3 linked regions of the Coturnix japonica genome follow. Each later gene encodes a partner of the first gene's protein in a complex. Links are inferred from orthologs where the notes say so. Each region holds a gene or a part of one and is shown in the gene's direction. Other genes may lie near its edges.

Region 1 (5,097 bases):
CACTTCCCCTCCTCTCTCTGCCTTTTTCTCTTGTTGCCTTCTCAGCCATCAGCTTTGGCATCTGCAGAGACCCCCATGTGCCAGTGGAAGCCAGTCTGTCAGCTTCCTCCCTGCTTACCTCCTCCAGTTCAACACTGGCTTCTCCTTATTCTCACTACCAAGGCATGTAGGAATTGATCCAGCCCTGGGGGATGCCAGCAGCCCCTCCTGGCCTGGTGGCTCCTCACTCCCTGGTCTGTGGCACCTCAGGGTTACCTTGAGTTACTGGTGAAGATACAGAGGGTCTTAGTCAGCCCGGTGTAGATCATAGCAGCAAAGTGACAAAAAAAGAGAGAAAGATGATCAGTTACTGTGCCTTTGTGGATTACCAGACCATCCCAGTAGAAACTATGTTTTGTTTTGGTAGCCTGAAGGCCCTTTTTAAACTCCTGGCAAGCTCCTTTCTTCCCTCCCGGGGAAGGAGTCAGGAGTAACTCAGTTGGCAGCAGTGCCAGCAGCCTGCAGAACAAGTCTGCTTTAGCCAGAAGGCACATCGGGGAGCACAGAAGACATGGGTGCTGCAGCAGGAGGAGGAGAAGCCTTTCCCTCCAGCACTGCTTCCCACAGTGCTGCACCAGCAATGTCATCATGACCTATAGCTATGACCCAAGCAGTGCTTCGTCTAGAGCTTGCCCCACAGCAGATAAATATAGGGCTTGAGCTCCAGCCTCCTCAACCTGTTACAACCTGCGGCTCCTGATGATCCTAAGATGGATAATCAGACCTGTGTGTGCATAAACACACAGGTCATGCTGCCTTGGCCCCACCTGCCATGATGTCTTGTGACACACGGGAGCAGCTTGCTTGGAAGCCACCAAGGGGAATTAAAGGGAAGAACCCTGACCAAACCCATTCCTGAAATCTGGCCTGTTTGCTTTTGCTTTCCAGAAGAAAATCTGTAGCACTGCATTGGCCAGGCCATGGGAAGACAGTGATGTGTGAGCCCAGGTTTGAGCTGAGAGCATCATGTCCTCTGCTGGGCACACACTCAGTTACCTCAGCCAGTGCTGAGACATGTGGTGCAGAGCTCAATCAATGCTCAAGAATGAGTTTAATTTGCTAGGTTTTTTAGATTTTTGAAGAGAGCATAACTGTAAAATAATCGCAACATTGGGACGGTTTTCTGTGGTGAAGGAATGATTCATTTTCACTCTTGCTTCTTTCTTCCTGGTCTTGCTTTCTCGCTTTCCTGATATCCACAGTGCATTACTTCAGTGTTCAAATCTATGGAGCATCCTCGTGTTCGGTGATTGTTCTAAATGCAGCACAGTACTGAAAATCACGCTCCGTTTCATTTCCTTCATCTATTATAGCATACTTGGCACTTCAGTTAACAGCCTGTGAGGCAAAACAGAAAACAAACTGGCCCTCTGTATCTATGCTTTCTGTGAAGTGCTGATGAGAAGGAAGGTGCCTATAGATAAATGCAGCATATATACCTTAGAAGGTATAAGTGGAGCATTAAAAGGCCATTTTTACAGTGTGATTAATATGCCCAAGCATTGAAACAATATTTACCTAATGACAGAAGCCTCTTCTTCATGCTGGTTAGCCCATGACAAAGCCTTGTTGGAATCCACATCCATCCCCTCAGCAGACATAAGCCTGCGGACAGGTTTGCTGAGGAACACCTTGGATCACATTGGTTGCTCACAAAACAGCTCTCCGGGTCCAAGAGGATTTCTCCATCAGCAGCCAGCAGCAAAGCCCCTTTCTAGCATCTGGGTGTGCATGACAGCCCAGTGCTGGAATGTGCTCCTCTGCAGCACAGCTTTTAACTTGAAGCTCTGGCAGGGTGCTGGGTAGCTCTGGCTCAATGACACAGAGGCGCTGAAAGTTAGTCACTTGGTTTGAGAACAAGGGGAAGCCCGGCGCATTGTTCTGCTGCCTTTGCCTCCAGCTCCCTCGCGATATAAGCACAGAATATATATACCCGTGATAACAGCTAGAGGAACATGGACTTCCAGCGCAGAGGTTACCCCTATGCGATCCCGGAGAATGAAGAGATCGCTTACAGCGTCTCTCACAATGCCTACAACTCAACGGGAAATGAAGGCGAGAAACCAGTGTCGAAACTGCAGCGTAGGCACAGTGACGTTAAACTCTACAAAGAGTTTTGTGACTTCTACGCAAAATTGTAAGTCCGCGCTGCTCAGCTCTGGGCTGTAACCGCGGTGACATTATTGGCATATGGTCACTGTGTTTTTTACCGTCTGGGCTCTGTAAGCCATTCTCTAAGGCAGCCTTTACCACAGCTCTGTGTCTGATATGTTGCCAGTTGTAATCATCAACTAGAATTTGAGCTGGTGCTGTGAACTTAATCAGTGATTGCGTCAGACGTTTTTATCAGGGGTTGAAGCAGGGTTGGCATTTGCCAAGTCGTCTCTGACTTCAGATTGTTTGCTTGTTTTGGGCGAACGTGTAGGCTGTTTCACTAATGCAGGACTGTTGCATGCATCACTGTTTTTACATACGTGTTTTTACTTGGATTACGTTTTTTCTCCGACAGCACTTAGTATTAAGTAACTTGTAAGTTTAGCACCCTTAATACTCAGGAACTGGTGAGGTGATGGTGAGGCTCGTGGTTTATGTTGTGAATACTGCTTGTTCAGATTAACGCAGAGTACGGGTGAAGTGTCTGACGTTTTTCCCCCTTCAGAAAACATACGTAATCCATGTAGACCATTGGCTAACTGTATGCTTAGCTATACTTTATACAAATAATCAGTGCTGTTTTTCAGTATGCTGATACTCTTAAGTATGAAATAGACCCTTCCTCAGCCTGACCCCCTTTGTGAAATTTGGCCACTCGTTGTTTCACTGTGAGGACAGTGACCCTTTTTTGGTACTGGGGCCTTAATTAAGTGTAAGACATCTGTACTGACTGTTGTATGTGTGAACACAATCCTAGTGAAGCTGCTAATCCCCTTGATACTTTGCAGCTATCACACTCATTCTGTGGTCACATGCCTTTGTGAAGCAACCAAAATTGCTATTTATTTGAGCTTTTATTTTGCATCACCTGTTTGCATTGCCCTATGCCTGGGTCATGGTGGAGCACCCCAGCACTGCAGCCAGAGTATTTCTACCTTCTCCTTGTCCTTGGTCTGGTGCTGAGGAGCTGCAATCTGCTTTTATGGAGATGAACCCTAACAAACCAACCAAAGATCCTATGACTTTATTATTTCTACAAGTTGTGCATAGCTTGAAGTGATTTTACAGTTTTGTTTACCTGCTGTGGTTTTCAGCAACCTACCATGTATAATATTTTAAACTCTTCCACACTGCTTGTTTAGAGCTTTTGAATTAATGTTGTATTCTGTTGTATTCTCGTATTCTAGAATTGTGAATTATTTTAGAATTAGCCTTCGTATTTTCCAATGTGAGGTCCTTAATTATTGGGAATTATTAGTAATAGGTGAACGGTTGGACTGGATGATCTTTTAGGTCTTTTCCAACCTTGGTGGTTCTATGATTCTATGGTTCTCCTCATAAAGAGACAGCATCTGTAACAATGACCAATAGTTATTATAACGCATTGATTTTGTTTCCAAAGAGTTTGGAGCCAGAAGGAAACAGTTTTATTTCTAAGGGATCACCACAAGTCATTAAGTTCATGGAAAGGTTTTCACTGGACAGCTTAGCATTAGGCTGATGCCATTGGCTTTGGAAAAATATAGAGAACCAGAATCAGTTGTGCTGCCTTTGGAACTCATTTTCTTTCTGTTTCTTGTTTTCATGACAGCAACATGGCAAACGCACTCGCAAATGCCATCTGTGAGCGCTGTAGAGGGGGCTTTGCGCCAGCAGAGAAAATCGTCAACAGCAATGGCGAGCTGTACCACGAGCAGTGCTTCGTGTGTGCCCAGTGCTTCCAGCAGTTTCCGGAAGGGCTCTTCTACGAGGTAAGCTGGGAGAAGTAATTACAGGCTGATCGATACCTTAGCAACTGCTATGGAAGAAATGGAGTTCCAAAAGATTATGCCTTTTAGAGGGGAGAAGGAAGAAGAAATGTTTCCATGGCTGTTTGGAGCATATCAGTGCGTATAACCTTATTTAAGTGAGGAAAGAACTACTGGAGATTCCTCTCCCTCTGCAGATTTTTTTTCATACATATACATTTCATTTCATACTATATATTAATCACAGAATCACAGAATTGTAGGGGTTGGAAGGGACCTCTAGAGATCATCAAGTCCAACCCCCCTGCCAAAGCAGGTTCCCTACACCACGTCACACAGGTAGGCGTCCAGGTGGGTCTTGAGTATCTCCAGAGAAGGAGACTCCACCACCTCCCTGGGCAGCCTGTTCCAGTGCTCCGTCACCCTCACTGTAAAGAAAAATATTGTATCAGAAATACAGGGAAAGCATTCTTCTTAGAATAGAGTTGTCAAAGGGAAATCCCAGCATCCTGCAGTCTTTAGGAGGTTTATTGCTGAGTGAGTGAGTGAGGCCTGCACAGCTTCTGAAATATCACTTGACCTGTAAGCCATCATGCTGAGGTCAAGGTGCGTTGACAGCCAAAATCAGATGAGGCCTGAGTCAGGTAAACCCAGAGTTTAATATACTTTCAATGGAAAACCCCACTCACCTTTCTTTAACCCTAGGTGTAAGGAAGGGTAGAACATGGGAGACAGGCAGTTATTACCTGAGGTTTGTGGATGGCTAACTGAGGCTCTAACAGATTAAAGGCAAAGTGCACACAATTATCAAATGTTCAGTTGCTTCTGAAAATTCTGTTCTAACCCACTTTCACATGCAGTGCCCATCATTGTGTCAAGAGCACAACATTTAATCTTCCACAGGGGTATTCTTAATTATACAGAGTCATGCTGTATGGTTAGAAGGAGACGGGGAGAGGAGTATTAATTGGAAAAAGAGGCTGGCAAAGGGGATTCCTGGGCTTACTTTCTCTCACCTTTCTTGAGGATCAAAAGGTTTTTCAGTGCTGTAGAGATAGTGTAGCACAATTTGTGGCAAATGAGCCAGCAGTGCTCCATGACACATCAAAAGGTGGGCTGCAAAAGAGTAGCAATTAAGAAAAGACAAAACAACACA
Region 2 (5,200 bases), on another chromosome or scaffold:
GGCCATGCACACATCGATGACTAATTGACAGAACTACCACGTGGCTGGAAGCATTAAGCACCAGAATGATGCTAGCATCTGAGTGACAATTCCCTTTGGAACTTCTAAAATATTTCATCTCTGTAGCTGTATACAATACATACTCTTTTGTTAGGTTTCTAAGCAGCCTCTTTTATGGTGCTGTTGACTGTTACTTGGTGGGGAGGTATAGTGGAGGGCACGTTCAGTAGTTAACTGTGCAGAATTGTCAGTCAAATGTGTGGGAAAATGAAAAGGGTGGACTTTGGTCTAGTTCTGTTCCTCCTCAAGTCAGTGAAGAGATTTGCTGAAAGCAGTTACAGCAATAGCAGTGGGGCACTGAAGCATCTGCCTTCTGTGGTTTAAGCGACCAATCAGATAAAAGGCTCATGCAGAGGCACACGACAGAGACAAACGCTGAACTTAAAGACAGAGCAAGAATTTATTGTATGGCCTTAACCAGCTTGGCCTTAAGCCTGTGTGTTTAAAAAATAATAGTAATAATAAGCAAAAGTACTTTGAAAAACTAGACAGGACATCAGAGCTGACCTCTATCACAGGAGCCAGCCATCTCAGGTTAAGTATATGGAATCCTTTCAGTGCTGAAGTGCTCCTTCTCATTAGCCTGGCCAACAGCAAGTATAGTCTGAATCATGTCTCTTCTACCTCAATCAGAAGCAAGAGTCTGTTCCCAATCACTCTGAGTCCTGCAGTAAAAGAAATAAAAGAAACGGGTGTGCATGGATGGCTGTGCAGGTGAATAAGGATGCATGTGAAGTGTGCTGATGTAACCAACTTTATTACCTGGCAATAGCATGAACATGATGAGGCTATACAATTAAAGTGAGCTATCGGTTGGCTCACCAGTAAGAACAAGGTGCTGACAGGGAGCACGGTGAGAGGCCTTGAGGTCTGCTCCAGGTTTCGGCAGCCTGCTTGGAACCAGAGAGCAAAGCCAAGGACACGTGGAGCAGTGGTGGCAGCCTGGGCTCGTTCTGCTTTTAACTGATGGCAGTATGGATGAATAAAGCTTTTCCCCAGGGCATATACTAACTGCACACAACAAATACTCATTGATGTCAGCTAACCGATGCCACCAGCTTGTGAAAACACAACAATTATGAGCTGATTTAGAAATATCCTCGCGGTAATTTCATTTCGCTCATTCCGCCTAAAGGACAGCACGGTATTTGCATGAAGCGTGGGTGGCTTTTTGCCCGAACTGTTAATGGAGTGATTAAGCGGGGAAGGGAAAGCAGCGCCTCCAGCTGACACCGCAGCCCCGGGTGCCTTCCGCACCAGCTCCCGAGCTGCAGCACATCATCTGCTTTAAAGAAGCTTCTCTCTAAAGCAACTCATCTGCAAATGACAGTAGTGCTAAGTCACCTTGCTTCCCTACTTTCCACAGCGGTTATTATTTTATTTTATTTTTCCGTAGAAACCTCGATGCCCGCCTCCCTCAGCCAGAAGCTCTGGCGGTATCCCGAGGGCTGCTTAGCACAGCGTGCTCCCTGCAAACGTACGCGTGCCTCCAGCTGGCACAGGGCTATCCAGCGGCACGGCTGTTAGATGCTCACACAGTGCAGAAACACCTCCCGGAGCTGCCACGTGCGTGCAGGTACCGAGTTGTCCCGGTGCTGCCCGGCCCGCTCTCAGCTCGCGGCGGTCCCGTGCCGCTTCCAGGCGGCCATCAGCCGCCGCACCGCCCCGAGGCCCGGCCCCGCTCGGGCTGCCCGGCTGCGCCCTTCCCCTGCCAAAGCTGCGCCTCTGGCCGCACCCGAGCTTTTTGCTGAGCGGGTCGCCCTACGCCAGGGCCCGAACCGACCCGCAGGAAGGTACGAGGGGCGGCGGGGCTGGAGGGCCGTCCCCCGGCGGGACAGGTGAGGGCGGAGGGGCGCAGCCGGCAGCGGAGGGCGGGCGGGAGGCAGGGCAGGAGCGGGAGAGCGGCACGGAGCTGCCTCAAATGCCTGGAATAATTCCGCTTCCGTTCAGAGCCGGGAGCGGCCTCCCACGGCTCCGGGGCCTCGCAGCCGTCTCCTCCATCCCCGATCGCCGGCCGGGCCCGCCATGGCATCGTCCCCCCAGAAGTCCCCTTCTTCCCCCAAATCTCCCACCCCGAAATCGCCCCCGTCCAGAAAAAAAGATGACTCGTTCCTGGGCAAGCTCGGCGGCACGCTGGCCAGGAGGAAAAAAGCCAAAGAAGGTAAGAAGCGCAGGTTCGCGCGTTTCCTGGGAGTTACCTCGGGACGGGGAGGAGGGTGGGAGGAGACACGGGGAGAGGAAAGGCTCGGGGGAGCGGAGGAAGGGGCTGACGGGCGGACGCGGGTGGGGTGGGCAGGCGAGCGGGGAAGGGAGGAGCGCCGCGTCGCCCTGGGGCGCAGCTCGAGCTGGCGACGCGGGGACGGGAGAGCTCCGACCGGGAGCCGCCGGGCTGATGCGGCCGTGGGGCCGAGACGGGCCGATCGGCCGGGAGGGAGCGGGCGGCGCCGAGATGGTCCCGCGGGCCGGGGAGGGCCGGGCGGGGCGGCCGCAGAGCCACGCGGAGGAGCGGGCCGTGTCCCCGCGGCGGCCCGGGGCTGTCCGGATGGCGGGCGGGGCGGAGCCCACCGCTCTGCGAGACTTGGTGTGCGTGCCCGCTGTAGCTCGCAGGGCGTTGTGTTGTGTGCGGCCCGCCGTCGGCACGGCGCTTTGGGAGGGCAGGGTCACGCACACAGCTTGCAACAGCGCTCTGATGGTTACAGTTTAACCTGCTCGTTCCTGTGCCCGGCTGGGAGCCCTCGGCTCGTTGCAGTGGAGCTCGAAGAACGCTGAGCCGACATTCGGGTTCTTTGTCCGTGTATTTGAATTAATACCCACCCGCTACTGAATCTGCCGATTTAGAATCCCGTGAGGCAGAGAACTGGGGTTTAACCTTACTCACCCAGCGTTTTTGCTGCTGCTGTTAATTTAAACTCGGTACCAAGTTAGCGGTCATTTCCAAACTGTTTTTTCAAGCTTGCAAGTCGTTTGCTTGCAAAGGAGGGGGGCGTTCTGCTCAGCAGACCGTGCTTCTGAGGTACACAGCTGGGTACTGACAGCAGCACAGCATTTCACACAGGCCCCTGTGCTGCAGATACTGCTTTGGGCAGTTCATTTACTCTGTGTGTGATGCTTTGAGTAACCTAAGATACAGTTACTTGAGATACCATGGATGATGTCAGTAGGGATTAGTCATACATTAAAACGTAATATTTAATTACAGTGCATTTTATGGAGCGTTTCATGAGATCTAAAATTTGGAGCAGAGATTTGCTTATGTTCTGTCATGTCGTGTCTTGGTTTTCATTTAAAGTTCTTCGTCTGCTGTCATCCAAAGATGAGAACACTGTCGTTCGGTGAAAGCACAAAGCAGCTCTAACTTTAGATAGCATAAAAATGTTTTTTAAGTGACAAAACCCACAAATGATTAACTGTATTCAGTAGTAATAGCTTTTTATCTTATGAAAAAATGCAGAATATTCAGTGATCTGTTTACAGCTGAACTATCATAGCCCAGAGTTCTGTAGTTTTTGGTGAGATTCTGTCCTTTTTGTTCCTGAAAACCATTCCAAGACTGAGCTGCCTCTTCTGTGCCTATAAGGAGCCCAGGGGTTGCTGGGCAGGAGCATAACGTGTTCACTGGTCTCTCTGTGTTCCTCAAAACCAAGAGCAAATCACACATTTTTGATAGCGGTTTGTATTGCATATTAAGCCTATCTCCATACCAATGCAAGGAGCGAACATAATGATCTCATTTTCTCTATATTGTGTTATGTTATCTTGTGAATTTTACATGGGGGGTTCAGGAAGGCCATGTGTGATTGTCCTCCTTAGATTTACCTGGCTTGACAATGAAGCTTTGTAGTAGCTTAATCCATAAATAAAGGCAACAAGGGAAGCCTTAAGCACAGGGTGATGGGAGCATTTGAGATACTTGATGTAAAATTTGTGTCTTTCTGGAATCTGTGACTTAAGTGCTTTGATGTGTGACTCTGACAGAGATCACACCTCCACCTGGCTGTGGGTGCTCACCAAAGTAACAGGGTTTCTTTGGTCCACAAGTGCCCTATGTAAGGTGAGATTTTTGGCTTGTTTTCTTTGGACCTGTTTCTGTGACTTGTCTTTGAATTGTACAGGAAAAAAAAAAGTGTTGAAGAATTTGTTGAGCAGTGAGGAACCAGGTGAGGCTTAACAAAAGCAAGTGTAGAGTCCTGCACCTGGGGAGGGACAACTGTGTGTGCCAGTGCAGGTTGGGGGCTGACCTGCTGGGGAGGAGCTCTGCAGAGAAGGACCTGGGTGTCCCGGTGTACAACAGGTTGGCCATGAGCCAGTGGTGTGCCCTCATGGCCTAATATCCATTGGTAACATGTACCACAAACAAAAATGGGCTTCTGCGTGCTCATTCCACCCTGGTGCCCTGCAGGCATGCACTGTGTTTCCTTTGAGGAAGAAATGTCATGATGAAAGCTGTATTGGCACCATTCTATCTCTGCTTTCTGTTTGTACCGCAGCACATCAGTGCTGGGCTTTCCTGCTGCATCAGGATAGCTGTTGCTTTCTTTCATGTCTGCCATAATGTGTTTCCAACCTCAGTGCATAGCAACTGACATGTGTGCATAATCTTCTTTCCCTGCTGCTTCTGCCTACCATGTTCCCATGTCCCCAGTGTACCAGCAGGGCCAGCTGCGCAGCTGGTGCTGGGCACAGCCTGCCCCTCTGCCCCTGGAGGAATACTGCCTTGGTGCCAGTCCCAGAAAGCAGATGGAATGCTTCTGCTGAGTGGGAGGAATGGGGAAAGTGGAAAGAAAAGCAGAGGCGACACTCACCTGCTTCTTTGTTGTCATTTGTCACTGCAAACCTTTCTAAGCACAAGGGCAGGGCTTAGAAAAAAAGTGAGGAAGAAAGTACTCAGGAGTAGAGGTGGTTTTTGATCCTTTGAAAACCAGATCTCAGGATATCTGGACGGGGTCCTCTGCTCTGAGGGTTGAAAGCATTGCTGGGTGGAAAGCCAGATAATTGCCTCTGAAACGCTTCTGTCAGTGTGGACAGAAAACCCAGCTGTTGCTTATGCCGTGATGGCAGTAGCCCTCCCAATGCAGCTCTTGGGCCTGGACTAAGCGGCAGCTCTGGCACGCTATAAGCTGATGTCCCCTACCCTGCTGGA
Region 3 (5,114 bases), on another chromosome or scaffold:
TATATTGTTACTGAGTTTATAAAAAACCTTGTGAGACTTTTGGCAAAAGTATCAGCTTCCTAAACAACTTGTGGACAATTCCAGGCATTTTATAAATGGACATAACTTCAGAATAGGGTAGATACCAAACTATTGATTAGCTTTTTACTAACAGCAGTTTGCTCCCTCCCCAGGCCGACACACATCTTCTGCTGGGATATACAGAGAACACCGGTTCACTCATGGAAATTAATTTCTTAAGGAGATTGTGGCAGTAATTGATTATAATCTGGATTGTTAATGGCAGTTCTATCAAACTCTGGAAACTCTTAGAGGGTTTCCCAGTGAATGTTGAAAAAGGACTAATTCCATTAGAAAAGAACCACAAATGTTGTAATGGCTGAGGAGCCATCCTAGTTAAAAGACAAAGCAGAAAACAAAACAAAAAAGTGCAAAGACGTAGATGACATGATATGAAACTCAAGATACTCAACATTCTGAAATGACCTCATAACATACAAAAGAGCGATGTCTGTGAACTCCCACTGGCCAAGTCAATGAGATATAAGGCATGGCTTTAGAGCCTTCTCATCATGAAGAAAAACCTAGCTTAGGTACAGGTGATACACCTGCTAATGTGCCAAAGTATAACATGGCAAAAGGAGAAATATCTTTATTTGGATCAAACTAGGAAACTGCTGTGTCTGCAGGAAGACCAGAAAGTTCCTTTAATAAGGGAAGACAAAAGAGAGCAAAATTATGTGTCCCAGATCTTTTTCAATACTCCACACCAAGCTGATTTCATATTAGAAATCAAGAAATCATGCAATCTCTGTCCATAAAGCTTATTAAAAACTTATAAAAGGGCAGCTAAGAAAATAAATTCAGCTGCACTGCCTGGAGATAAAGCTACAAAATAAACTCTAAATATAACAACTCGTAAGACAATGTAAGTACAGTTAAACATGGCTTCAGCTGGTTGCCTGCAGAGATCAGGAAGGAGTTTATTTTTTCTAGGGGCTGGCTGTATCATGGGGCTCCGTGTGCATCCATCGTGGTTTTGACCTTCTGATGAGTCATTGTGGATTTGGTGCAGTTGGGATGGAGCAGATGTGGTTGCTGGCTCTTGCTGCTGGGTGGATGGTCAGACCAGCACCAGATTTTAGGCAAGAACATTGTGTTTTTGTACCTCAGCAGCCTGCAGCTCTGCTCATCTGGAAGCCATTGGTGGAGCAGAAGGGCAGATCTCACCCAGGCAACTCTCTGCTGCTACAAGGCCGGCCAAGTTCTGCAGAACATTCCTTTCCTATGTGGACAATGAGTTCTGTTACAGGCTGAACCTTGGTCTTGCCAAGATTATGACAGACCAACACACTGAATAGAAATCTGTACCTAGTTTTAATTAATTAAGTTTGTTAGCGGCTTTTTGCAGCTGATCTCGGTCACTCATCATACAGTTTATTGACACAAAGTTTGTTCCCCTGAGGAGACCTCTGGCCCCATGTTGGCCTGCCAAGGCTGTTGGCTATTCCACAGTGTTTGGCTATGATTGGTGGGAGGCCAGTTTTGGCAATGTAGCCTTTGGCCCTATGCTCCATAGGGAGGGCTTCGGTTAAACTGAGCAGTGTGTTGTAATCTTTACTTCATAAAGACAGATTTCACTAAGAGAAGAGTCATAGTTCTCTTTCAAGCAGCCAAAATGCTTTCAGATAGTTTTCTGATACAGATAAATACTGATCTTGGTATCAATTTTGGTGGTAATGCCAAACAAAACATATGGAATCACTGAATCTCTGCAGGAAGAAGAAAGTGTGAAGAACACCATGAAGGAGAGGAAGAAAAATCTGTAAGATTAATATATTTTTTAAAAGTAACAATAAGTAATGCTTGGCATGTCTTTAAATGTGCATCTACTTGTGCATAATTGTATTTACGTGTGAATAATAAGCATGAGTTTCTGTATAGAAAATGAAAGTCCAGCAGAGAATTCATGCCCACGAAGGCTGCTGAATGAAGCTGCTGGTACAAGGTTCAATTGATCTGGCCCAACTGACTCTTGCCAAAAATAGTCAAGGTCTAAAATTAGAGTAAATTATCAAACCAGTTCTTTTTTTTAAAAAAAACAGGAACAAAGTAACTCACTGTTGTCCTCCAACATCTTATGTGAGCAACCACAAGAAAAATACCACTGCAGAGCTATTAAAGCGAAGGTCTTTAAAGGAGAGAGCTGTTGTGGAGCCATGTTTCTGTCTTGGAAGGTAAGGAGTAATTTAAAACACTTTAAAATGGTTGCACGGCAAAAGCAAACTGGAACTACTAAACATTAAAAAAACAGCTTTGATAAAAGATCTGCTATTTGCAGTGCACAGTTCGAAAGACAAAATCTTTGTCTAATACGATTATGCCTTCGTGTCACAATACTGCCAGCAATATCTTTGCTTTTGTGTCTTTGCACGTCGCTGACAGCTTTGTAGATCACACCGTAGTTGTTAATACTGCATGTCTGTCTAGTAATAGCTGCATGGCTACAAACCTCTCCACTCTGAATGACACAGTACGGATAATCGATGTCCACGCTATCACCTCCTAGAGTCAGATGTTTGTTTTTACTTATGTGTCAATTTTCTGGACATTATTACATCTTCTTATATGAAAAGTATATTTTAGTGGACAGTTATATGTGAATGGTAAGGACTATATAGGAATGGTAAGACTAAGGTTTGAAAAATAAGCACTAAAAACATCCATTTCTGAGTTGCCCTTCCTATGTGGTGGGGTTACTCTTTATACACAATGAGAAACGATTGCATGCAGCGAGCGCCATCTCGTGATAAACGCGGATCTGCACCTCAGGGTTAAAACATCCCGTTTCTTAGAAAGGAAAAGCTGAAATTCCACCCAGACCAGTGCCAGGCCGACACTGCGGGCTGGGTGTGAGGAAAACGAGCTCAGAAAGAGCGGCGAGGTGATGGCACGGCCTGCATTGAGAGCTGCTGGGGACACCGGCCGTGAGGCGCTGTGGCACTGAGGGCTGTGGGCACAGCGGGGCTGTGTTGGGGGCTGGATTCGGTGATCTCAGAGGGCTTTTACGGCCTTGGTTTCTGTGGAACTACAAAACTCAAGGCTACGGCTGTCAGTGCGGTCCAGGCTTCGGGTCGTTTTACAGATGGAGTCGTTAATTGCTTTGATCTTGTCGATGCTGCAGTGACAGCAGGCAGGACACCCCAGCCTTGTTGCGCCACACCTTCAGCAGCTCAACCGTGACCCCGGGGGCTGAAGTGCCCGCTCTCAGCTACGGTTCGCGCTTATTGGCGGGCGAACCACTTCCTTCAGCTCTCCTTCCGAGCCGCCATTAGAACCGCCCCCAGCGTGGGGCGGGCTGCGCTTCACGGCGGGGCGGCAGCGCGTCTGCGCGAGGGGCGGGCTGGGCTGGGATCAGGGAGGGGCGGGTGGGCGCGTGGAGGAGCGGGGCTCCGCCCAGACACCACCGCCACCACCGCCTTAATACAGCCTCAATACAGCCTCAATATAGCCTTCATACAGCGCCGCTGCACCGCACCGTGAGTCGGGGTGGAGGTCCCGCGGTGGTGGGTCGGCGTTGCTGAGTGGGGACCGCCCTTGTGACGGTGTTTGTGTGTGTGTGTTTTTACGTGTCCCGTCCAGGCCATGTCCAAGTCGCTGAAGAAGATCGTGGAGGAGAGCAGGGAGAAGAACCAGCCCGAGGTGGACATGTGCGACCGAGGCATCTCCAACATGCTGGACGTGCCCGGCCTGTGTGCGTAGCGGGGCGACAAGGGAGGGAGCGCCGGCACCGCCTTATTTGGGCCGGGGATGAGGGCGGGAGTGGCCGCGGGAGGGAACGGTGTGTGTCCGGGCCTGCATTCTATGCCCGTTCTCTTCCTGCTCCTGGGGCACGTCGTGTTGTGCAGCCCGTTGTGTGATCCCTGTTCAGGAAGGAGCTCCCCTGCACTCCTCTGGATGAGTGGCTGGCTCACCTATGACCACAGACCCTTCTTTAGATCTGTGCTTACCCCTTTCATAGCCTCTGATGCGTTAAGGTGTGGGCTGAGAGCTGTTACTAAGTTCAGTAGGCACAGGGTATAATAATCAGCACTAAGGCACGTGGTCAGTTTTGCTTCTTCAGCTGGGAGGAAAGATAACATTGAAGTGCATCAGCTGGAAGTTCATGTCCTACCCTTAACCCTACCCTTAGTGGTGTGCTTAGCTGTGAGGGAGTGCTGAGGACTGCAGCGGCTCTAGGAGGAGTTTCACCATCTCTGGATGTATTCAAAGAAAGGATAGATGTGGCACTTAGGGATGTGATGGGCATGAACTTGTGGTGCTTTAGTTACATTGCATCAAAGTAAGCACTGCAGATGCAGACACCTGTGCACACTGCATCGTGTGCTTTAGTGTAGTGATTCGGGGCCTTCTGTAAGTTGAGGGCAGCCTTGTGGGAGATATAAAGGCTCACTGAGTTGGAGGATACTCTGCAGTTGTTTGGTAAGCTGCCTTCTGCAGCGTTGGTTGGTTTTCAAGAAGTGTGCCAGGCCGTGTCCAATTGCACGTGTGGGTACTCTCTGTGGGTGGCTGGTGAGCTTCCCTTTACACTGTTGTAACTGAATTCACATTATGGATGGAAGTGAACATTGGTTCAGGGCTGTGAGGCACTGGCATTGCTGCCCAGAGCTGTGGGTGCCCATCCCTGGAGCGCTCAAGGCCGGCTTGGATGGGCCCTGGGCAGCTGAGCTGGTGAGGGGCAGCTCTGCCTATGGTACAGGGTGGAACCACGGGGGGTTTAAGGTCCTTTCTAATGCAGACCATTTCATTCAAGATTTGAAATGTTCCTTGGTCTCAATGTTCAGTAATTCAGTGCATCATACAAACATCAGGTGAAACAATTTTAAGCTTTAAAATATTTTCTTATTATTCCGATATGCAAAGCAAATGTTGTAGCTGTGGTTAAAACATTTGTGTGCTATTTGTTCTCCCATATATGAATGATTTCAACAGGTGATTCTCTTGTGGAAATGCTTGAGTTCTGCTTGTTTGGGTTTGGTTTGTTGTTTTGGTTGGTTTTAATTCAATATTCTGGAAGAAATAGATGACATTTGTTTACAAAGCAGCTAAATATT

What was found. Proteins that work in one complex are often made in the same cells at the same time.
Region 2: LIMS1 (region 1) and PARVA share a complex: the UniProt entries of both Homo sapiens proteins name them as parts of the heterotrimeric IPP (ILK-PINCH-PARVIN) complex. The link is inferred for Coturnix japonica from reciprocal best matches to the Homo sapiens genes LIMS1 and PARVA.
Region 3: the proteins of LIMS1 (region 1) and RSU1 are in contact, whole or in part, in a crystal structure (PDB 7LT9), measured with the Homo sapiens proteins. The link is inferred for Coturnix japonica from reciprocal best matches to the Homo sapiens genes LIMS1 and RSU1. Residues at the interface, in NP_001180417.1 of Homo sapiens: Cys252, Phe253, His254, Cys255, Asn256, Leu267, Asn268, Lys269, Ser279, Thr280, Cys281, Asn282, Thr283, Glu293, Phe294, Asp295, Met296, Lys297, Cys303, Lys306, Phe307, Pro308, Glu310, Leu311, Arg314, Leu315, Lys317, Leu318, Ala319; in NP_036557.1 of Homo sapiens: Asp21, Ser23, Asp24, Gln44, Val46, Ser48, His49, Val67, Asn69, Phe71, Asn72, His90, Asn92, Met95, Glu112, Asp115, Thr117, Tyr118, Arg137, Ala138, Tyr140, Ser142, Asp143, Ile161, Ser163, Arg165, Asp166, Glu184, His186, Gln188.

The regions. Positions count from the first base shown.
Region 1 is NC_029516.1:122,924,472-122,929,568, forward strand, and holds the start of LIMS1 (LIM and senescent cell antigen-like-containing domain protein 1), read left to right. Parts: upstream 1-1,899; 5' UTR 1,900-1,994; coding exon 1,995-2,176; intron 2,177-3,784; coding exon 3,785-3,944; intron 3,945-5,097. UniProt on the Homo sapiens protein: Within the IPP (ILK-PINCH-PARVIN) complex, binds to F-actin, promoting F-actin bundling, a process required to generate force for actin cytoskeleton reorganization and subsequent dynamic cell adhesion events such as cell spreading and migration.
Region 2 is NC_029520.1:12,290,507-12,295,706, reverse strand, and holds the start of PARVA (alpha-parvin), read left to right. Parts: upstream 1-1,736; 5' UTR 1,737-1,853; intron 1,854-1,879; exon of another isoform or gene 1,880-1,898; intron 1,899-2,010; 5' UTR 2,011-2,085; coding exon 2,086-2,221; intron 2,222-2,258; exon of another isoform or gene 2,259-2,465; intron 2,466-5,200. UniProt on the Homo sapiens protein: Plays a role in sarcomere organization and in smooth muscle cell contraction. Required for normal development of the embryonic cardiovascular system, and for normal septation of the heart outflow tract.
Region 3 is NC_029517.1:18,200,348-18,205,461, forward strand, and holds the start of RSU1 (ras suppressor protein 1), read left to right. Parts: upstream 1-1,650; 5' UTR 1,651-1,825; intron 1,826-2,105; 5' UTR 2,106-2,219; coding exon 2,220-2,237; intron 2,238-3,402; exon of another isoform or gene 3,403-3,539; intron 3,540-3,642; coding exon 3,643-3,754; intron 3,755-5,114. UniProt on the Homo sapiens protein: Potentially plays a role in the Ras signal transduction pathway. Capable of suppressing v-Ras transformation in vitro.